Rhinolophus ferrumequinum: one gene and its partners. The protein of the gene in region 1 interacts with the protein of each later gene in a pairwise test. Links are inferred from orthologs where the notes say so. Each region holds a gene or a part of one and is shown in the gene's direction. Other genes may lie near its edges.

The links. The genes of interacting proteins can lie anywhere in the genome.
Region 2: the proteins of CRX (region 1) and CCNC interact in binary tests that used the Homo sapiens proteins (3 or more experiments, as listed by UniProt). The two-hybrid records come from large-scale screens. The link is inferred for Rhinolophus ferrumequinum from reciprocal best matches to the Homo sapiens genes CRX and CCNC.
Region 3: the proteins of CRX (region 1) and BANP interact in binary tests that used the Homo sapiens proteins (3 or more experiments, as listed by UniProt). The two-hybrid records come from large-scale screens. The link is inferred for Rhinolophus ferrumequinum from reciprocal best matches to the Homo sapiens genes CRX and BANP.

The regions. Positions count from the first base shown.
Region 1 is NC_046298.1:43,662,137-43,669,078, reverse strand, and holds CRX (cone-rod homeobox protein), read left to right. Parts: upstream 1-3,855; coding exon 3,856-3,955; intron 3,956-4,872; coding exon 4,873-5,024; intron 5,025-6,076; coding exon 6,077-6,703; downstream 6,704-6,942. UniProt on the Homo sapiens protein: Transcription factor that binds and transactivates the sequence 5'-TAATC[CA]-3' which is found upstream of several photoreceptor-specific genes, including the opsin genes.
Region 2 is NC_046286.1:54,286,846-54,294,637, reverse strand, and holds the start of CCNC (cyclin-C), read left to right. Parts: upstream 1-4,709; 5' UTR 4,710-5,048; coding exon 5,049-5,080; intron 5,081-7,792. UniProt on the Homo sapiens protein: Component of the Mediator complex, a coactivator involved in regulated gene transcription of nearly all RNA polymerase II-dependent genes.
Region 3 is NC_046298.1:32,663,235-32,671,119, forward strand, and holds the start of BANP (protein BANP), read left to right. Parts: upstream 1-4,802; 5' UTR 4,803-4,908; intron 4,909-7,885. UniProt on the Homo sapiens protein: Controls V(D)J recombination during T-cell development by repressing T-cell receptor (TCR) beta enhancer function. Binds to scaffold/matrix attachment region beta (S/MARbeta), an ATC-rich DNA sequence located upstream of the TCR beta enhancer.

The DNA.
Region 1 (6,942 bases):
GACTCTACTTCTCGGAGCCTTCGTTTCCTCCTCTGTGAAGTGGGATGATAACAGGACCTACCTTGTAGGAAGTTTTCACTGGATTATCAGCTGCCTGACCTGGGGCAGGTAACTTCCTCCCCTCCCCTCAGGCTCAGTTTCCCCACCTGTAGGATGGATGATCTCCATGAGTATCCACAAGGTGTGCGCCAGCCTTCAGGCTCACCTGTCAGAGCACCTGCTCAGGTGGGAACCTGGACCCAGCGGCTGCTGAACCCCAAGAGCCCCGAGCACCAGCCTATGGCCCCACAGGTTGATTCCCAAGGCAGGGACAGTGGTCTCCCTCGTCCCACTCTTTGGGATCATGAAGCACCATTGCCTCGACATTCACTCAGCAGGATAATAGGGCTGCCGAGTGAACCAACAGAAGGTCAATATAGTAGGTCAACAACAATAGGTGTTGTCTGTGCTCCTGAGATCAGACACACAAAGCCTTCGGCTGAGTGTCTGTCGAGGGAAGAAATCCTGAGGTCCTCAGCTTGCTGCCAAACCCAGAGAAAGCTTTCCACCAGGTGTCTGATCTTATTTTTGTTGTTATTATTCTTTGCTGACATCTTGTCCATGAAGCTCTTATCAGGTGTCTGAGGAGTTGGCAAACCCTCCGTCCTAGAGGTCATTATCATTATCGGCTGCTTGATCTTGAGTGAATACCTGCCTCCCCCAGAGGCTCAGATTCCCTACCTGTAGGATGGGATCACCCAGTGAGAGAAATTTAGGCTTTCCCAAAGGCCAGCCACTTAGTGGGATAACCTGGTGTGGATTCGATGGTGAAGACATCAGAAGTCGATGCTTTTGCTCCAAGTCCTGCAAATTGCCCCTAGCAGGACAGGTTCACAGTTCTGCTTGTTTCTACTCTGTCTAGCAGTTGTGATGGAACTGGAGAAGAGGGAGAGGACAGAGGGAATCCAGGATGGGGACTGGGAGGACAGGGCCTTCAGGAATTCTCCAGGGTAGGAATCCTGGGTCCCCAACCACAGCCTGTGTGTGACCCTGGGCAAGTCATGGCACTTGAGCCTGAAGATGTTCCCATCTGCATCATAGCAATGCAGTCTCTACCTCCCTTGGTTGTGCTGAGGACTCAGTGGTATCCTGCATAGAAAAGGCTTGTGTATGAGTTATCTATGGCTGTGTAACAAGTCGTCCCCAAACCTCACGGTAAATGTGAAACAGTAAACATGTACGATGTCATACGATTTCTGAGGGACAGGAATCCAGGAGTAGCCTCGCTGCGTGATTCTGGCTCAGAGTCTGCTGCTGGATTCAGAGGTCGCCCAGAGCTGCAGTCGTTTGCAGGCTTGACTGGGGGGCTCATCTCCATGGCTGTTGGCAGGAGACCTCAGTGTCTCACCACATAGACTTCTCCATAGGACTGCTCGAGCATCTTCCAGAAGGAGAGCCAGAATCGGAAGTCATGGGGTCATTTCTGCGATATCCTATTGGTTGCACACGTCAGCCCTGCTCAGTGCGAAGGACAAGTCAAGGGTGTGACGACCAGGGTGAAGATTATTGGGTCCTGCTTAGGACACCAATAGATTCTTAGGACTTAATGTTGTTTTTGTTTTTATTATTATCAGCACTGAGACCCCCAGTGACCTTCCCATCAGGTCCTGCATAATCTTAGTCCACTTTCCCCCTTGATCATTCTGCTCCAGTCACACTGGACACCTTGTTTCTCCTCCAACAAGAAAAATCTATTCCAGTCTCCAGGCCTTTGCACCTGCTGTTCCCTTTGCCTGGAAAAGCCTCGACCTTGAGATCTTCCCACGCCTAGGAAACTTGGCAGCTCCAGGGTCACCTCCTTACTGAGAGCTCTTCCCTGTTCTTTTATCGGAATTAGATGTGTCACCCTCACTCCAAACCTCGTCATTATATTCTTCCATTTAATTTTTCCCGGAATTCTTGAAATTCTCTGAAAGCATTTTGATTTTCTAAAACATCTACTTCTTTGTTCACTGTCTGTTTTTCTGACTCAAATCTGGAAGTTCACTCTCATGAGAGCAGTGATGCTGCGTGTCTTATTTCTTGCCACATCCCTAGTTCCTAGAGCATGGTGGACCTTTGAAAAATATTTACAGAATGGACAGTAGGTCCTTAATTTATAATAAATAGAAGTCTCTCAGGTGAGAGATGAGAAGGATGGGGCAGTGGGAGAAGAAAGGAGTAGGAGCTGAAATACATATCGTCTACTTTTTATTCATTTACTTACTTTTCAAATATTTATTGGTGCTGGGGACAGAGCAGGGATGGAAATACACCTAGTCCTTGCACTCCTCTGACAGAGCTGGGGGAGACAGGTAAACAAAGTTAAAATGTGTCATATTTAATACATGCAAGGTCTTGAAGAACAGGAGAGAGAAAATGTGTGTGTGTGTGTGTGTGAGAGAGAGAGAGAGAGAGAGAGATCCAGCTGAGAGTGTGGGACAGCTTCCTTGGGAAGTGATGTTTGAGCTGAAATCGTGGGTGAGGAAAGGGGTTAGCTGGTGAGAGGGGGTTTTGAACTGGGGAGAGGCATTTCTGGCCCAGGGAACAGCTTGTGTGTGTCCAGAGAGGCTGCAAGGTTTTCTGAGACATCTTAAAGAGGGCAATAGCGGATAGGGGCCATGGAAATGTTCTCATGTCTTTTTCTTTTCTTTTTAGAGTTTATATTTTGTTTTTGAAAAGGTGACACATATATATGGTTAAAAAGTAACCCAAACTGCAAAAATAATGTATGGATATAGCACACCTCCCAAGGCAGCCACTTTTACCCTATCTTGTGTCCTTCCTGGAAATTTTCAATGCATAGACATGCATCTATAATAATAATAATATTATTATTGTCGTTGCCTTGTTTTAAAAATCACAAATGGTAACATGCTATACATACTGCTCAGCACCATATTTTTTCTTTGACTATATATAATATATATTGTACACGTATATGTTATATAGTTACTATTACATATAATTTGGTAGTATATGACCTCTACTACACACATACACCCTCACACACACCCTTATTGTCAAAGTGTAATTTTAAAATATTTTAAATCCTGACTCTAAGACACATACGTAATAAACAGGTCAAAGATTGATTTAAGTTATTGGAAACCAGCTATTTCAGAGATGAATTCAAGGAACAGAAATACAGTTATTTCCCCATTAATTGTTCATACACATAGTCATTACAAACACACATGTATCCATCCCTACATCCATTCATCTAATCATTTATACACACATAACCGTATCCATCCGTCTAGTACATACATACAACCCGATGGGTCAAAAATGGTCGTGGCAGATCATCGCTTGCTGACGTTTTAATACAATTAGGGTGAGCCACCAGCCTGGTTTGTCAGGGACTCTCCCAGGTTTCACCCGGAAGCCCCACATCTTTAAAACAGCTTCTGTTTCAGTCAGACCGGGGACCGCTGCTCACTCTACTCTCTGTGATTCTGCGTGAGGTTGAACATCTTTTCCCGGGTCACAGAAAGAAAAGATTTTGGAGAGGGAAATGGCAGGATCAGATTTTTTAAAGGACAGAGCAGGAAGTAGAGCTTCTATTTAAGATGTCCATTACAGCCTCAGCTCTGCTTAACGGACAGCGTCTCAGTGAAGCTTTGAGGACCCTAAGCAGCGGGCCATTTATTATAGGTGGGGAAACTGAGGCACGAAGCGGAGAGAGAAATTGCCCAAGGTCCCATAGCTAAGAAGAGACTGAGGCAGGATTTGATCCTAAGCCTGCCTGTCACCATCCGGTAACTGGGAGTGTTTGAGCCCCGCACCCCTTCTCTTGCAGGCCCACTGACCTGGGCACCAGCGTCCAGGAAGACCATGATGGCGTATATGAACCCGGGGCCCCACTATTCCGTCAATGCCTTGGCTCTGAGTGGCTCCAGTGTGGATTTGATGCACCAAGCTGTTTCCTACCCCAGTGAGTACAGTCGTCCCTGCCATCCCAGACTGGCCCCCATCTACTGGGGGCTTCTGGAGTCCCTTGCCCTCAGGAAAAAGACGGGCACTTACAGAGGTGACATCAGGGTCATATGCAAATGCAAAACACTACTCCATGCAAAACACTACTTAGGGATTCAGGAAAGTATACAGACATTCAAAGAAATTTAGGATAGTGTTTCCATCAGGAGTGAAGGAGAGGGAAGTGATCTGGAAGAGGAACCAGAGGAATTTCCATCTGTTAGAAATGCTTTATTTCTTTTTTTAAAAATAAATTTTATTGGGCAATATTGGGAACAGTTTGTTTCTCCAGGGCCCATCAGCTCCAAGTCGGTGCCCTTCAATCTAGTTGTGGAGGACGCAGCTCAGCTCCAAGTCCAGGCGCCGTTTTCAATCTTTAGTTGCAGGCCAGCAACCTTGTTGTTGAGAGCTCATGCTCTAACAAACTGAGCCATCCGGCCCAGAAATGCTTTATTTCTAAGAGAAGTGAGCTCTCTTTGTATTTTTGGTGGCATTATTATTTAGCTGTTTGGTGTTTGTTTTGTTTTTTCATTAAGTTGAACATTATGCATCTGCCAGTTGTATAGGCTAGAAATGGTTGAATATCCAGTGTCATGTTTTAGTGTCTAAGAAATTAGAAAGGGACCAAAAAACAAATTCATACACCTCCTTACATGGCTAAAGCCAGGTGTCCTCGGGGTGAGGCATGAGCCCCAAAATGACAGGCAAAAAGGGACCCCATACCCAGGGAGGCGGAGTAAGGTCCAGAAGGGTAGGGCACATGAACACACAGAAGGGGTTTCTGAGCGTCCCACACACCCTCAGGGCCTCACACCAGCAGATGAAGAGAATGGAGCCAGGTCACCTAAGGGTCCCGTTTTCCTTTTCCCCACCCAGGCGCCCCGAGAAAGCAGCGGCGGGAGCGGACCACCTTCACCCGGAGCCAGCTAGAGGAACTGGAGGCTCTGTTTGCCAAGACCCAGTACCCGGATGTGTATGCCCGTGAGGAGGTGGCCCTGAAGATTAACCTGCCTGAGTCCAGGGTTCAGGTGGGATGTTCCGGCCCTTCTTGGGGCCCAGAGTGATGGGAGGAGAAAGAAGCCACAGAGTAGCAGCCACAGTCATGAAAGGCCAGAATAATCCTTTACCCCCATTATTTCACTGGCCTCATCTCAGTGTTCCTACCCTTCTCGCTCCACTCCAGCCAACTGGCCCCTCGGTTTTCCTCTAACATGCCCACCAAGCACACTCCTGCCTCAGGACCTTTGCACTCTCTGTTCTCTCTGCCTGGAACGTTTATTCCCCATCACCTTGTTCAAGTCTTTACCCACCAATCAAGTCATTGAGGCCTCCACCGGCAGTCGAATTTAAAGTTGCAATCTTTCCCCACATCCCCCAACTCTACTGCTCCCTCTTTCCTGCTCAATCGGTTCTTCCGTAGTATTTATCACCTTCTAAAATATTATGTGCTTTACTTACTGTTTATAATCTGTCTCTCTCAAGTAGAATGTCAGCTCCACTGATGTATATCCCCAGAGCAGTAGAAGACGGTTAATGCATGTTTATTAACTGATTGAATGGATGAATGTGTATATGTGTGTGTATTTGTATGATTAGATATTTGTATGACTGGATGTATGTATGATTCATGTACCAATGTGTATGTGTTTGCTTGTATGATTGCATATATGTACTCATGACTGGATGGTTAAATATGTGTGTGTGTGTCTGTGTGTGTGTACAACTGTATGTGTATATTTATATATGATTTACGTATGTATTAGATAAATGAATGTATTTATGTATATGTGAATGATTAGATGAATGGATATGGACACGTGTGTTTGTATGAATGTATGTATGTATGGTTGTATGTATGAATGAGTGGGTGGATGGGTGGACAGACAGTAAGGTGGGTGGATAGATAGATGGATGGATTAGTGGATAAGTGGATGGATGGAGTGACCTATAACTGATTGCAAAGTGGAGCGGTGTGACTCTGGTGTGTCTCACCCATAAACAACATCATTTCTGGGCACCATGGGGGCTCTCCTGGGTCTCCTCCCCACTCACCCACCGGCGTTCCCCTCTTACCCCCCAGGTTTGGTTCAAGAACCGCAGAGCTAAATGTAGGCAGCAGCGGCAGCAGCAGAAACAGCAGCAGCAGCCTCCAGGGACACAGGCCAAGGCTCGTCCTGCCAAGAGGAAGGCAGGCACGTCCCCAAGAGCCCCCACGGATGTCTGTCCAGACCCCCTGGGCATCTCAGATTCCTACAGCCCCCCTCTAGCTGGCCCCTCAGGCTCTCCCACCGCAGCAGTGGCCACTGTGTCCATTTGGAGTCCGGCCTCAGAGTCCCCTTTGCCCGTGGCCTCAGGGCCTTCTCTCCCCTCAGCCCCCTACACCATGACCTACGCCCCAGCCTCTGCTTTCTGCTCTTCCCCCTCAGCCTATGGGTCTCCCAGCTCCTACTTCAGTGGCCTGGATCCCTACCTTTCTCCCATGGTGCCCCAGTTGGGGGGCCCGGCTCTCAGCCCCCTTTCGGGCCCCTCCGTGGGACCCTCCCTGGCCCAGTCCCCCACATCTTTGTCAGGCCAGAGCTACAGCGCCTACAGCCCTGTGGACAGCTTGGAATTCAAGGACCCCACAGGCACCTGGAAATTCGCCTACAACCCCATGGATCCTCTGGACTACAAGGATCACAGTGCCTGGAAGTTTCAGGTCTTGTAGCCTCTCCCTCCATCTCTGCTCTACACCCGCCTGCCCACAGCTTAGATATTTGGCCAGCACCTCTGAGAGAGCAGCAGGAGCCAGTCATCCTTCCAAGGCTTGTGGACGCTTTGACTGCATGAGCAGCGTAGCTCAACACAACCCACCCCTTTCCTCCCTTTCCTGGGACAGCTCAGGGGGGCTTAGTCATTCTCTCAACCCAGCTCCGTCTCACACCCATTCTAACCTGAGCCCCAGAC
Region 2 (7,792 bases), on another chromosome or scaffold:
GTAATTCTAAAGTGCAGTCATTGTTAAGGAGCATCACTCTGAACCCACCGCGGTAATTCTAATCAGGGCTGCCTCTCGGTGTGTGGAACCCCAGACAAGTACTTTTTGTGTGTGACCTCTATCTATACAAAAAAACAAGCAAACAAAAGAAATACATAAGTAGAGAATGTAGAAGGGTGGAAGTGAAGCTGAAAGTTCATGACATAGAGAAAAGCTGAAAAGCATACAAACTAAGTTATCATGAGCAGAGAGTATGAAGTAAACACAGAATGGGGAGATAACATGGTCCAGTTGGGAGCAAGAAAATAGAGAAAACACACACACTGCTTTCTTTGTATCAAGGTAGTACTATTTTCCTTATCTGTGACAATGGACATCTTTATAGTTCATACGGTAGAATCTAAACTTGTTTTGAATAATATAGGCTAAGAGTAAAAGAAAAGTAAAAGGTAAGAGCTATTGAGCTCTTACCATATGTCAGGCACTATTCTAATTTCATTTAAGGTTTATCTAAACCTCACCATAACCCTATAACTTAGGAAATATGATTATCCCTGTTTTCCAGATGAAGAAACTGAAGTGCAGAATAGCTAAGTATTTTGACTAATGTTACCAGTATAGATTGAATGTATGTCCCCCTTCCCTTCATCTGTTGAAGCCTTAATCCCCAATGTGATGGTATTTGGAGGTGGGGTCTTTGTGAGTTAGGTTTACATGAAGCTTGGGCGCCCGTGATGGAATTAGTGTCCTTATTCTCTCTGCCATGTGAGAATTCAGCAAGAAGGCAGTCTTCTGCAAGCCAGAAAGATGTTTCTCACCAGAAACCGAATCACCAGGTGCCAGGACCCGGGCTGGCACTTTGATCTTGGACTATCCAGTCTCCAGAACTGTGAGAAATAAATGTTTGTTATTTAAGCCATACAGACTATGGTATTCTGTTATAGAAGTCTGAACTGACTAAGGCAGTTATACAACTAGCAAGCGGCAGAGCTATTAGTTGAACTTGATCAGTGTAGTTTAGAGACTGAATTTCTAACTAGTACACTTTACCATAAGTTAGAGGTTTACTCGTCTTAACTAAAGTATCCAGGAGTTAAAATAAACGAAGACATAATGAATGAATATAGAGGAGATGATATTTTCACAACGAAGACTGTTAGTACCCCAGCAAATTACAATAATAATTTAATTAAAAGTGAGAAGATGGTCTTCACTAATAGTGTTTGGGAGGAGAAACTTCTACTACAAACCTGAAATAATGTGTCTATAGTAGTTTAGTCGTTATAGTTCTATTGAAGCTGTACAGTTGGGTGAAAAGCTCATTGCCCTGGGAATCAGAAGAAATGGATTCTAGCTGTTCTTGCCACTAACTAGGTAAGAGAGCTTGATAAAGCCCCTAAATTTCTAGGCTCTGAGAAATAGTATTCGTGGTGCTGGAGAAAGCATTGTAAAAAGGAAAAAGGATAAATATTTTTTTGTCACAGAAGAATCAACATTTGTATCAAGAATTTATTAATCACATCCTTATTTAAAAAGCATAAGATAAATAAAAAATTACAAGGCACAAGATTGATTAATAGATTCCAGTAAGTTTAAATCACACAAGTATGAGGACTGAGAAACAATAAAAAAAAAAAACCTAAAACTATAAAGAAAAGTTAAAAAAAAAAAACAACACAAAAAGCTATCAGCAAAAAGAAACAAACCTACATGGCCTATCATCTTTTGCATCCAGATAAGTTGATATCTAGGCATTTTAACAGCTTTTGTACATTGCTGTATTCCACCAGATATCCTTAAATAAAGTTAGCTTTTGGTTCAAATCATTCAATTCAACCTGCCTTCTGGAGTACCCTCAGTGACAATTTAGTCTAAAAATAGTAACGCCAAAACTTCAGACCCCTGACTTGAGTGGCCACTGGGAGCACCAGCGCTGTTGTGCATTTGGAATTCTGGGTGGGAAGCAGAAACCAGGTTGCAGGTGGGAAGCATTTCTATGTAATATTTCTGGTTAAATTGCCTAGAACAGTTCACAGAAGGACCTGAATCTTCAAGGCTGTAGTAATTTGTTATGATTTCTTTTTGCATTCTAAATACTTACTTTTCAACCTGATTTTATGTCCATATGTTACATTTTTTCTTTAAGCACCCTACTCCCCAAATACCATTGCCTGCTGTGCCTATGTGTTATGCCCTCAATGAATGGTGATACCAAGATGAAGGAACTCAGTTTTGTGGGAAGAAGAGTGCAGAATTAGGCATGAAACAATGTTTGTCTAGTGAAAGAAATAGTGTAATGGGGGCACATAAAACAAAACATTTAATAATACTGATTTGTCGCAGTACCCTTATCTTCTGGATGATGTCAGGCTGACAACCTCTGAGAGAATTAAAGAAATTCTGAACCTTTATGAAGTAGCCTAGTGGCCTAGAGCCTGGTCTTTCTTTCCTTCTTTCTTTGCTTTTTTTTTAGTGCCAACCTCTTTATTACTTTTTATCTTTATTAATCTTATTGGAGGTGACATTGGTTAGTAAAATTATATAGGTTTTAAGGTTTAAGTGTTCTATAATACATCATCTATATACTGCATTGTGTGTTCACCACCCAGAGTCAGTTCTCCTTCCATCACCATACACTTTGTCCCTTTTCCCCTCTTCTACCATCTCCTCCCCCCCTACCCTCTGGTAACCACTAAACTGTTGTCTGTGTCTGTGTTTTTTTTTGTTTGTATGTTTATCTCGTTCGTTTGTTGCTTTCAGTTTTATATGCCACATGAGTGAAATCATATGGTTCTCAAATTTTTCTGACATATTTTGCTTAGCACAATAATCTCAAGATCCATCCATGTCGCAAATGGTGGTATTTCATCTTTTTTCATGGCCGAGTAATATTCCATTGTGTATATGTACCACATCTTCATTAAATAATCATTTATTGAAGAACACTTTGGTAGTTTCCATGTCTTGGCCACTGTGAATAATGCTGCAATGAACAGAGAGGTACATGTATCTTTATAGATAAATGTTTTCGGACTTTTGGGGTAGATACCCAGAAGAGGGATTGCTGGGTAATTCTATTCTTAATTTTTTGAGAAAACTCCATACTGTTTTCCATACTGGCTGCACCAATCTGCATTCCCACCGCCAGTGTATGAGGGTTCCTTTTTCTCCACAACCTCTTCAACACTTGTTTTACTTATCTTGTTGGTAGTAGCCATTCTAACAGGTGTGAGGTGGTATCTCATTATGGTTTTGAGTTGCATTTCCCTAATAGCTAGTGAAGTTGAGCATTTTTTCATATATCTTTTGGGTTTGGTGTTTCTTAAGTTACTACCTTTCAAACTTTTTTTGACTGTGATCTGCAGTGTAGCAGACAGTAGTGTTCATCAAATATACTACCGGCTCCCCTACATTTCTCAGCCTCCCTTGCAGTTAAGTTAGAAGCATGTTCCTATTCTGGACAATGGGAAGAGAAGAAGTGATTGTTGTTTCAGGTTTAAGTCTCTTGACGCTGATTAAGAGCCAGTGAGAGAGTCCTAGGCATTCTCTCTAGAAAGATTTTAAGCCTGGAGGCAAAGAACCAAGAGAGAGTAGTTGAAAGATGGAAACATACTGCATTCTTGAAGATCAACCATCAAGGAGAGAAGTCTAATCCACATCAAACTTTATAGGACTTTATGGAAGTGACGTGTGACATATTTTTGTTAAGTTACTAAAAATACATTTCATATCTTGAGATAGCACCTATATAACATGTAACTGAATCAAAAATTTTATTTTATTTAAATACATTTTTTTAAAATTGGGGACTATTGGGGAACAGCGTGTTGCTCCAGGGCCCATCAGCTCCAAGTCGTTGTCCTTCAATCTAGTTGTGGAGGGTGCAGCTCAGCTCCAAGTCCAGTCGCAGTTTTCAATATTAGTTGCATGGGGCACAGCCCACCATCCCACGCAGGAATTGAACCAACAACCTTGTTGTTGAGAGCTTGCGCTCTAACCAACTGAGCCATCCGGCTGCCAAGAATCAAAAAATTTTAAATAATATCCTTATTTCTAACATACCTGATAATTTAAAACTTAATTTAGGAAAATGCTTATCATTCTCAATTTCACCACCCCCTAATTGGTCTCCACCCACAGTGTGAAAAATACTGTCCCAAGCTACCTCAGAACACTGACCTATCAGTAACTTTTAAGTGTGCCTAATCTTTGGAAAAATGATTATAAGTTTTACAATAATTGCAATATCACAATGATAACAGAAATGGAAAATACAAATTATTTCATCTTGTAAAATTAAATTATTGCAATTTTGGCTGTATGTTTCTATTTGGTACATATATGTGAATATGTATGTGTGTATATACATATACATGTAATAGAGAAATGCTTTTAGCTGTTCTGCAAAACTGGTGGTTCTCTGGCATTAAAAAAAACAAAACATTGTTACTCTAAATATTTCTGCCTCACTCCAAAAGAACTCCATGAAAAACGTATGCGGCTTGGTGCCAGTAGGTTTTGGTAGTGCCTTGAGGCCAAAATAATCTTTCTCTTTCCAATCACAGGAGAAAGAATTGAATTCATTAAACCTTTAACACAATGCCACCGTGCCGCTTTGGAAGCGTGTAAAATGGAAAAACAAAACCTGAACTGGGTTGCTTCCCAACTGCCTGCCCACTCGCGAATTGGCACTACCCCCAGTAGACCAAACCACGCGGGCTCCAGCTCTGGCGCGAAGGTCTCGCGAGAGCCTAGTTCCCAGGCACTATCTCAGCGCGACCACAGGCTGTCTCCTCCCAGCCGGCTTCCTCCGCCACGGCGGGGGCGGGCCGGAACTTTTATCCATAGGAACCGCTTTACACAGTAGAGTGTTGCCGGCCGGCGTCAAGAAGAATTGGGTGCCATCCTCTTCCTCTTACCGTCGCCGCCGCGGAGCGGAGCCGAGCCGATCAGATTGAGGAGCGCGGTTACCGGGCGGGCTGGGTCTATGGTCGCTCCGCGGGCCGCTCCGCCGGCTGGTGCTTTTTTATCAGGGCAAGCTGTGTTCCATGGCAGGGAACTTTTGGCAGAGCTCCCATTAGTAAGTGATCTTCCGTCTTCTCACCGTGGGCTGGCTCTTGGGGGGCGGTGCGGACGGGGCCTGCGACTCCCGTTGGCCTGGATCCCGGCCCCTGTCCCGAGTGCCGCGGAGTCTCCCGGGAGGCGGCTGCGGCCGGAAGCGGGATGCGTCTTTCTCTGGCAACTCCTCTCTCCCCGCCCCCTGGCCGGGTTTGGAAGGTGGGGAAGATCTGTTAGCGGGAAAGGTGGGGGAAGGGGGTTCGGTCTCCGAGGTAGGAAGGTTCGGGGTTTTAGTTTCGTATTTTTGCATTAGCTAGGCCTGGAAGGGGGTGGGGTAGGATGGGGTGGGCACAGGTATGGGAAATGTGACCCAGTTCTGGACTGTGAGGCTGGCTCTTCAGGATAGTTGTGGTTCATTTTTTTGCCTCGGATCTCTTCAGTGGGTTGGCATCGCAGTCTTTTGTCATTCACTTTCTGTCCTGAGTGGATTTAATATTATTTTGAGGAGAGGGGGAGCCAGACTTATTTCTTCACACTAACTGATTCCTGCCACTACCTTATGCCTACGTGGAGGGTTATGTTGGTAAGGTACAGGGCAGGTGCGCTCAGAATTTATCCATTTCATTGGTCTGTGCCTTATATTTTAAGTGTGTATTTTCCATTGATGTTGCCTATTTCTTCAACGTTTTTTAGAAGTTTTTGTTTCTGTCAGTGACCATGGAAGAGCTAGAGTAATATTTAAAATATTTTCCCCTACATCCATTTGGTTAAGCAGTCAGGAAGGTGGGTGACCAGACTGAGTGAACTTTGACTAGATTTTCCAAGTACAGTTGGAAGACGAACGCAACCTGATAAAGATTATATCTTAGTGTAAATAATTTTTAATGTTAAGAGCATTAGTAACTGTAATTTAGATTTGATTCTGTGAAAAAGATGGATTTCTGTTCATTCTTTTAGCCCTTTGCAGGAGGAAAAAAGGAACAATGGGCTTGGAAATTATTTTCAGAAATCAAGTTTTCTTCTTGCTCTAGAGCGATTCTGTGGAGATGAAATGCTATAGAAGCATTATTTCTGACCACATTTTTCTTTTACATTTCACTCACTTGAGTATTTGCTTGGGCAAAATTAAAATAACGAAATTTAGGCAGTGGAGAAGAGGTATTCTGATGAACTTTGAAAGAAGGTGCGAGAATTGATAGGTAGCTAGCTAGCTATTGATGGTCAGAATTTATGTTTTTCAACTTAAAAAAAAAAGGTCCTCCCGCCTTTTGATAAGCATTATGCCACAGTGAGAATGCTTATCAAAAGAGGGGCAGGATCTATTTTATAAAAACAATTTTTCACATTTCAAGTGTAAAATTATTATAATATTAAATGTGCTGTTTTGAAACGCCTTGCCTTCCAATTCAAATAGTCCTGATGGAAGGGGGCCACTTGACTTTCTCAAATTCCTTGACAAGCATGGAGTCCCTGCTCTGTAAAAGGTAACAAGTATGAAAGACAAGACAATTCTGGAAAAACAAAATAATTATGAAAGCCATTGTTTTAGGTGATTTTGGTGAAAGGAAAATTGACGTGAAATATGCTGTATTTCATGACTCTAAGATGCACATTTGAGTATTTCTGAAATCAGCATGGCATAATAGTGAATCTTAAAATCAGTGTCATCTTTGATGAAATGAGGTATTTATAAGTTTTGGTTTATACTCCATACTATGCGCTGTGAGGAAAAACTTTTAAATATTTGTGAAATTTATTTTTTTAAAAACAAAATGACTAGAGATGAAATTAATGATAATTCTGGAAAAAAAACAAATCACAGTATTTTCTAGAAAGTTGTATTAGAACACAACACATTCTTTGACTATGATGCAGTCAAACTAGAAGGACACTAAATACTTTCTAGACTGAATGGATTAATGAACAGGTTACAAAAATTAAAAATATAAAATTAACTCTGGATACTTTATTGTATCAAAGAGGAAACTGAAAATACAGTTACATAATATCAAAGAAATAACATAATGACATCAATGTATATCCATATATTGTAGCCAAAGCCAAATTTGTAATAAAATTAATATCCTGAATAACTTAGAAATAAAAATAGATCAAATATTCTACTTAAGAATATTAAAAAGGAAACAGTAAAATAAACCTAAGGAAAAAAAGAAGAGTAAAAGTAACACTGATATTAATGTATTAAAAGGAAAAAATATAGTCAGAAATTATGTAAGAGCTGGTTCTTTGGAAGGGAAAACCAAAACAGTAGACTAAACTGCTAGTTGAATCCAGGTGAAAAGGGATAATACAAAAACACAAAATTAGGAATGAAAAAGGTAAACCCAGATGTACCTTTGGGTTATCTCCATGGTAATAAATTTGAAAGTCAAAATAAATTAAGAAAGTTAGAGCGCGACTCCTTAAAAAATGCTCCAAGCCCACATTATTTCATGAGTAATTTTTTTCCCACTATCAAGAGGTCCTGATAATGAAATTGTTCTAGTTCACATGGGAAGAAAGAAAGCTTTCCAGTTTTCTTTATGAAGCTACAATACAGTTTTCTTTATGAAGCTGGTAAAATCTAGCAAAAGTAGTACTAAAAACAGTCTCACTTTTGAATATTGATGCAAACATTATAAAGTATTACCAAGTGGAATCCAATATACCTTAAAAGTATAAAAAATGATAGTGATTTTATTGTAAAAATAGTGAATACTAGGAAACCTGTTAA
Region 3 (7,885 bases), about 11 Mb from region 1:
CCTTGTCAAAGATTAGTTGCCTAAATACGTGTGGTTTTATTTCTGAGCTCTCTATACATTGTTCCATTGGTCTATGGGTCCATTTTTACACCAGTATTATACTGTTTTGATTACTATAACTTTGTGATATAGTTTGAAATCAGAAAGTGTGATGCCTTCAGCTTTGTTCCTTTTTCTCAGGATTACTATTTGGGGTCTTCTCTGGTTCCATATGAATTTTAGGATTGTTTTTTTCTATTTCTGTGGAAAATGCCATTGGAATTTTGATAGAGATTACATTGAATCTGTAAATGGCTTTGGATAGTATGAACATTTTAACAATATTAATTCTCCTGATCCATAAAGGTAGTATATCTTTCCATTTATTGTGTTTTCTTTAATTTCTTTCATCAACATCTTAAAGTTTTCAGTGTATAGATCTTTCACCTCCTTGGTTAAATTAATTCTTGTGTTTTATTATTTTGGTGCTATTGTAAATGGGATGATTTTCATTTCTTTTTCAGATAGTTCATTGTTAGTGCATAGAAATGCAACTGATTTTTTGCACGTTGATTTTGTATCCTGAAACTTGACTGAATTCATTTATTAGTTCTAAGTGTTTCTTGATGGAGTCTTTACCAGCATTTTCTATGTATAAGATCATGTAACCTGCAAACAAAGACAATTTAACTTTTTTTCTGATTTGCATGCATTTTATTTCTTTCTCTTGCCTAATTGTTCTGACTAGGACTTCCATTATTATGTTGAATAAGAATGGGCACTAAGATCCTGAACTTAAAGGAAAAGCTTTCAACCTTTCACCATTGAGCATGATGTTAGCTGTCGGTTATATGGTCTTTATTTTGTTGAAGTTTGTTCCTTCTGTACCTTATTTATTGAGAGGTTTAATTATGAAGGATGTTGAATTTGTCAAATGCTTTTTTTTTTTTTGCATCTATTGAGATGATGTAATTTTTATCTTCTATTTTGTTAATGTGGTGTATCACATTACGGACGGTGTGTCTCCCCCTGGGAGGCTTGGGACTGTCCCTGGACCACAGCTAAGAAGGGCTAGAGTTGGGTCCCAAGCTACTTCAGGGTCCACAGCCAGAACCAAATACATTGGGCCTGTTATCTGGGGCATGTGTAGGTCTGATTCTTGCTGGATCCCTCCTCGGCGGATGATGCTGGTGACAGGACCAAGGCCAAATGGAGCTGTAGCCGCGTCCACAGGGGGATGGTCTGTTTCTGTGTCTGTAGCTGAGACCAAGGTTAGTGAGTCTTCCATTTGAGTCGGTGGCAGCTGACTCAAAATGGCCCTTATGATTTGGGGTTCCACCAGGGATTCACAGTCTCCTAGGCATCCCAAAGTTCCCACCAAGGTACTTCTGTCCATGGATGGATGCCAAATTATTGCTGCTGAGGGAGGATATGATGGAGGACCCCTATTCTGCCCTGTGGCTGACATCACTTCCTAATCTTTAAATCTCTTGATGGCCCAGAACGTATGGCTGTGGCCTGTCCCAGGTCTGAGTGGAATTCATGCCAGGGGGAGATGGGACTATAGTGGGTGCTGGGTGCTCCTTCTTCCCATTTCCCCTGAATTATTTTGTGGGCTCTATCTCCAGGACTCCAGATCACCCCCAACCTGATCTTTTCCCAGCAGGTGCTAGGAACCTACACAAAGGGGGCCTTTGTGTGAAGTAGAGGAAAGTGTCGGAGGATGGGGGAAGAATTACAGAAGAGGCCCCCTTGGCTGGACCAATAACAAAGAAGCGTTGTTCCTGGCAGCCTCCACAGCAATGGTGGGCAGCGGCCAGTGGTGCTCAGAGTTCCCCATCCCAGGGAACGGTACTCTGTCTATCCAGTTTTACATGTTTGCAGACCCATGAGGCATCCGAGCTGCCCTCCTTCCCTTACCCTGCTCTCAGTATTGGATTCATGCTCATGTCCTATTGATTTCACTCTTTGAGTCTGTCCACTTCTCTGCATGTTGGTCTCCACTAGGATCACCTTAATTCAGGACTCCATCGTCTCTTGCCTGGAAGCCTGCCATCGTTTCCTCAAGTGCTCTCCCCAAATCCACTCAGGACCTTTCCTCCCCACCCCCAATTGATTTTCCAACATTCCAGCCAGAGTGACTTTTGAAAACACAAATATGATCATATCTACCCTTGCCCCTAACCTTGTAAAGGCTTCCCATTATTTTTAGGATCAAGACAAAACTCATCCCTTGGCCAACGAGGACCTGCAACCCACACGGCCCACATCCTAATTACCTTTTCCATCACATGTCACAAACTTCCTCCTCAAAGTTCTTGTACTGCTACGGCTGTGACCTTGGGTGTGTTGCTTAATCTCTCTGAACTTTATGTTTTTCATAAAGAATAGGGATTAAAACAAGATGTGCCTGGCCCAAGGCATGGTAACTCAGCACGAGTAACGTTACCATTTTCTGAGTGAGGCCCTCTGCTAAACCCTTTAGAAACTCTGCGACATTGAATCCTTCCCAGGGCCTCATATTCTGTGAGTTTGAAGCCTCAGCAACTTGCCACAAGAGAGCTTAGATTCAAAGCCCAGTTCAGGCCTGTTCTTATGGCTCTGCTTTTATGAACAGCTTTCTAAGCTTTCTAAGCTCAATTTTCTAAGCTTTCTTGGACAACGAAGGACTTCATGAATAATTCACTTTTCTCCGTCCTACTGACATATTCAAGAACAGGACTGTTCTGAAGGATTCCAGATTTTGCTTAAAGTGGGCATTGCGTGGTTTTGAAGAAGGGGCCTTTGAGATCTTTGCAAATGCCCTGCATACCTACATCTAAGGGGTCCCCCATTTCTGGTGCCATCCAGATCAGAGTGCACTTCTCGTCTAATAAACCGCCCACCAAACGTGACTTCAGCTTAATTAACTCCGGGGACTTCCACTGGAGTCTTCTATGAATTGATGGGTAAGGAGAAGGCTCCTGTGTGGTCCCGAAGTGACCCTTTATTGGTAGACAGCTGTCTTGGTCCATTTCAAGCGATTTAATGTTTTTTGAAAAAAACCATGGTTAATCACTGAGATGTGAATATTGAACACCTTCCTCTATTTGAGCTTCCTGGGCAGCAAAATGTAAAATAAGTAAATTGGAAACATTGAAAACAAAAAAGAGAAGTCAATGATTCCAGCATATGCACAATTATAATTTTGATTGGTTTAATTTCTGATCAGTAAGCAGTTGCTTGGAGCCAAGCAGTGTGCAAGCCCTGGGCAGGAAGGAGTGTTGGCAAAGCCACACCTGCAAGGGAGCTACTGGTGAGGACTTTCGAATATTTTGAAATAATATGAAAAATATCACCCTACGTTTATCTGCTTTCTAGTCAGATGCAGAATGTTAAGACTGCTTACATAGTTAAGTATTAGATTTGGCTCTAACTGAGGCTGAGGTGGGGACAGAAGAACTTTTTTGCCCCCATGCCTCTCTCAGGATTTTTGTAGTTAGCTTTTGCAATCATTTTTCCCCACTGTGAGCGGACTGTAGACTCTAGACCAAGGTGTTTTGGATTCCACACAGTGCTTTTCGTCTCTTTCCAGCCCTGTGACCTTGCTGAGCAATTTTTCCAATCTCTTTGGACTTCTCATCTCTACATAGGACATACCTCGTTTCCATATCAATATCTTTTCCAGCGCTGACCTTCTGTGGTTCTTTGGAATTCCTTTAAGGCACTTTTTCGGTAAAGGAATCCAGTAACCAGCCTCAGCAGAACCCCAGTGTTAACTCTGGAAGAGAGGCTAACTCAACAAAGTTGCCCAAGGTTGCACAACTGGTTGCTGCCCTGAATCAAGTTTTTATCATTGGCAAAAGAGAAATGAGCAGGAAACTCATGGTAAAGCATTTCATTTTCTAAATGAAAATAGCTCCATCCTCTTGTGTTTGGGTGATCAAAGGAATTCTTGCTCAAAGTAAACAACTCAGAAAACAGAGGCAAGTATAAAGAAGAAAAATGAAAAGTAATAGTAATCCCAGCACGCACGAAAAGCAATGGTGATGACAATAAGTAGGAAAAACATTGCTGTCTATAGTTTGGGAATTTTTTCCTAGGAGTACCCACAAGCATGCATTTATGGTCTATAAATATATTTACATTCATACTATATTTATATTCATATATAATAGTTCATATTTACATAGGCGCGGATTATATGCAATATATAACATTAATTATATACAAAACATATATCACATATAATTTAGTCTTCCCCCACGAGCGTGCACTCAAGACTGTGCACATGACACTGGGGACCCTTGTGCACCACCTATTCTTTGGGGGAACCCCGCCAGAGCGGAAGCAGCAGCACACGCGGGGCGCAGCGATCCAGTGCATCTGAACTACAAGTCCCAGCAGCCCACGGCGCGGGCCGGGCTACCGGAGTATGGAGAGACTACAAGTACCGGCAGGCAAGGCGCAGAGGCCGGGACTACGAGTCCCAGAATGTACTGCTCGCGGTTCGCGCAGGGCCCTCCGGGATATGTAGTCGTTGGTGGGGAGCTAATTCTTAATTCATTTAGTCTCAAAGAAAATGCAAAGTCCTCCAACGGCCCACCGACACGATTTTTCAAGGGTTAACGAGGAGCCCTAACACACCATGGGGAAGTGAGAGCTCCTCGGGGCCCAAACTGTGGCACTGGAGTACAACGCGTGCGCATGCCCGGCGGTCGACGGCGCGGGCGAAAGCGCGCGCGGGAGGCCTCAAGCGGCAGGCCCTGCCTCTGGTCCCTCCTCCGCTCCCGGCGCGCCCCGCCCAGGGAGCCTGCGCAGATAGTGCAGGGCAGAGGGCCTCGAGGAGGGACTCGCGGCGCCTGCGCAGAGCGGCGGCTTCTCTCGCGAGGACGGACGCCATTATCGCATCTCCCCGACAAACACCACGAGAATTCCGCAGCCCACACGGTAATTGCAGCTCCCGCAGCCGGTCGCGTCTCCACCTCCCCCTTCCCGCGGGGCGAGAGCGAGAGCGAGATCTCCCCTCCTCCCTCCTCCCTGCACCCTCCTCCGGCCGCCGCGCCCGCCGCCCCCTCCCGGGACGCCCTGCCGGTTCCGCCAACGGCCCACTACCCCCGCCCGGTAGCCCCCTTAGCGCCCCGGGGCCCCGCCGCCCGCCTGAGCCCTGCCGTCACCCGTCCTTCCCCCGCCGCTTCCCTCAGTTCTGTCAACCTCTGCGGACGCCCCCTCGGCCTCAGCGTCCCTAGGCCCCGCCGCCCCCCTCTTCCCTGTCAGCCCCCCGGTTTCTGCGGCCCCCAGGACCCCCCGCGCCTCCTCCCGGGAGCGCACGGCGCTGTCCCCCCGACATTCCCGATACTGGGGGGCCGGGTCACAGGGCCGATCGCAGGCTCGTTTTCTTCCCACGGGAGACTGTTGATTTCATTAATTTTCTTTTGCACTTGCACCCCCCCCACACCCACCCATATTGTCATGCCGTGCGCGGGTTAGGACGGTGCGGGTGACAGGCCCGGCCGCCGGCAGCTGCCTTTAAACTTGGGGCGCAGCCCTGCGAGAGGTGCTCGCAGACGTCCCGAGGGCCGCCCTGCAGCTGCAGGAGGGGCAGGCTGGGTCTCTCCTTTCTCTGGGAAATGGGAAAACTGGACACGCACCCACAGACCCTGCGGTGTAGTAGTTCCTGTCAGGCCGACTTCCGACGCGGTTGGCACCCTGAGTTCCTAACGTGAAATGGAGCCCCGAGAGTCAGGAACACAAGCAGCGTGCTCTTCATTTGCTTACGGTTTCACAAAGGGAAGTAGGGATCTAAGGTGCCGTTTTAGGAGTAGACTGCCGTAGACCTAGGAGAGGACCGGATCCAGCTCTCCTCCCGGCCTCGATGAAGGAGCATTTCAGGTTCTTTCACCCCTATACTTTTTTTTGCTATTTCTGTGGTGTAATCCTTTTGAAATGTGGCCTTAGTTTTTTGCTTTGCAGTCCCTCCACCCACCCCACCCCACCGTGGCTGCAAAAAGTCGATGTACATTGCACCTCACTGTGAGTGAATTGGAGACATTAATAGAGGACTGATTTTTTCAGTGATGAGATGGTAGGGATTGTCTTCATATTGGAGAAATAAGAACTGTTAACAAGTGCAACTTCCAAGGACAGAGAGCTTGCCTGCCCTACCTGGGCAGGTTAGAGTCTGTGGAAGGAAACAGGTGATTGCTCTTTGTTTCGAGTTACCTGTTCTTCCTGACTGTACCCCCGAGGAATGCACTCCAAGGCCTGAGGGCGTTGGTAGAACTAGCACTAAGGTAAACTAGTTGATGGGAGGAGACAGTCCTTTCTAAGGGTGGAGTTGTAACTGGAAGTTTGGGAAACACATAACGTGGGAAAGTTGAGTGGTCCTCAGGGAGGGAAGGTTACATCAGAAAGTACATGATTAGATCAATGAACGTGGAGCTTTTGACCACCCTGGGTACAAATATGCAGTGGTAAAAGAAAACACCAAAACTGCCCGTAAAATTAATTCTCTATATTCAGCTCCATTTACCTTTTGTGTTGCAATCAGAATATGTTCTTCTCATGTTGTGTTCTGCCATCATTGGTTTTAATTTTTAAAAAACAGTCGTTATTTATGGGATCATGTGCTGTTGGCCGGGACTTAATCATTTCCCATGTCTCTCATCACAACCACCCAGTGAGGTAGAGACTGTCCTGTTTTACAGATGAGGTGACTGAGGTCCACAGAGCTTAAGTGACTTGCCTAAGATACACAGAGCCAGGGTGTGAACATTTAAAATAAATAACACATACGTATATTTAATATTTTGAAGTAAGGTACATAATAAAATGTCAATGAAAAACTTATGATGAGAAGTAGTAGTCGCCTGTCCAACCTTTTACATCGTTTTGTTTCTTTAGTAAATTTTCCATCGCTCTAAATGATAAGCTGGTATTTTATTAATTATACACATTTTTGACTTTCTGTTATGATACTGTTTAGCTCTTCAGATCATATTCCACCTCTTTCAGCCCCTGAATTCACTGTGTTCAGTTAACTCTTTGTTTGTAACAATGCAAAAGTTGTTTGCTCGGCAGCCAAGTAGCACTTACCCTTCTTATACAGCTATTTGTTTTTCCTATTGTTTGTATTGGCCTTTCTTTTTCTTTGCATTGTCTGCTCCTATTGGCTGCTTAAATTGTTTCAAATTCTCAAGGATAGAGTCAAGTCTCTCCAAACTTCCCCCTCCTCCCGATTCCTCTGTTCTCTTTTTCTGATCTGGATTGAGTACTCTATGCCACCACAGGTATCCTGATATTTTCCTTTATTATACATCTGAGTTCAGGACTCCATGTTTTAATCTTTGCTTTCTTCATTTCAATGAGAACCTTCTGCCAAGTCGCCTTCCTCCTTTCGCGTGACTTTTTAGGGTCCTCTTTGGTTTTAGGACATTTCCAGAGTGCCAGAGGATGGAGAGTCCCATTCCAAACGCTCTTTGTTTCTGGGGCCTTGTCCTTCAGTTCTGGGAAAGTGTCTTGTATCATTTACTTGAGAATTTCTTCCTCTCTGCTTTTACTCTTCTCCTTTCCAAGTTCCTGTTAGTTTGATGATGGATATCTTGAGCCCCTGAATCTCTTGTCTTTATCTTCCTGTGTCATTTTGTTCTTATTTCTGGGAGAGGGCTTCAGTTTATCTTCCAATCCTATTTAACATTTTTATTTCCATAATTGAAATGTTAATTTCCAAGTGTGTATTTGTTCTGTTCCTTTTTCATAGTAGCTTATTGTTTTTTGAATGCATTATCTTGTTGACTCTGAGGATACCAATAAGGATTTTTTTTCCCCACTTCTTTTTTGTTCTGTGATCTCTCATTTCATTTAGTGTCACTGCCATCATTGTCTTCTTATTTTAAAATACTGGCTTCTTGCTTTGTAGGGCAAGTTC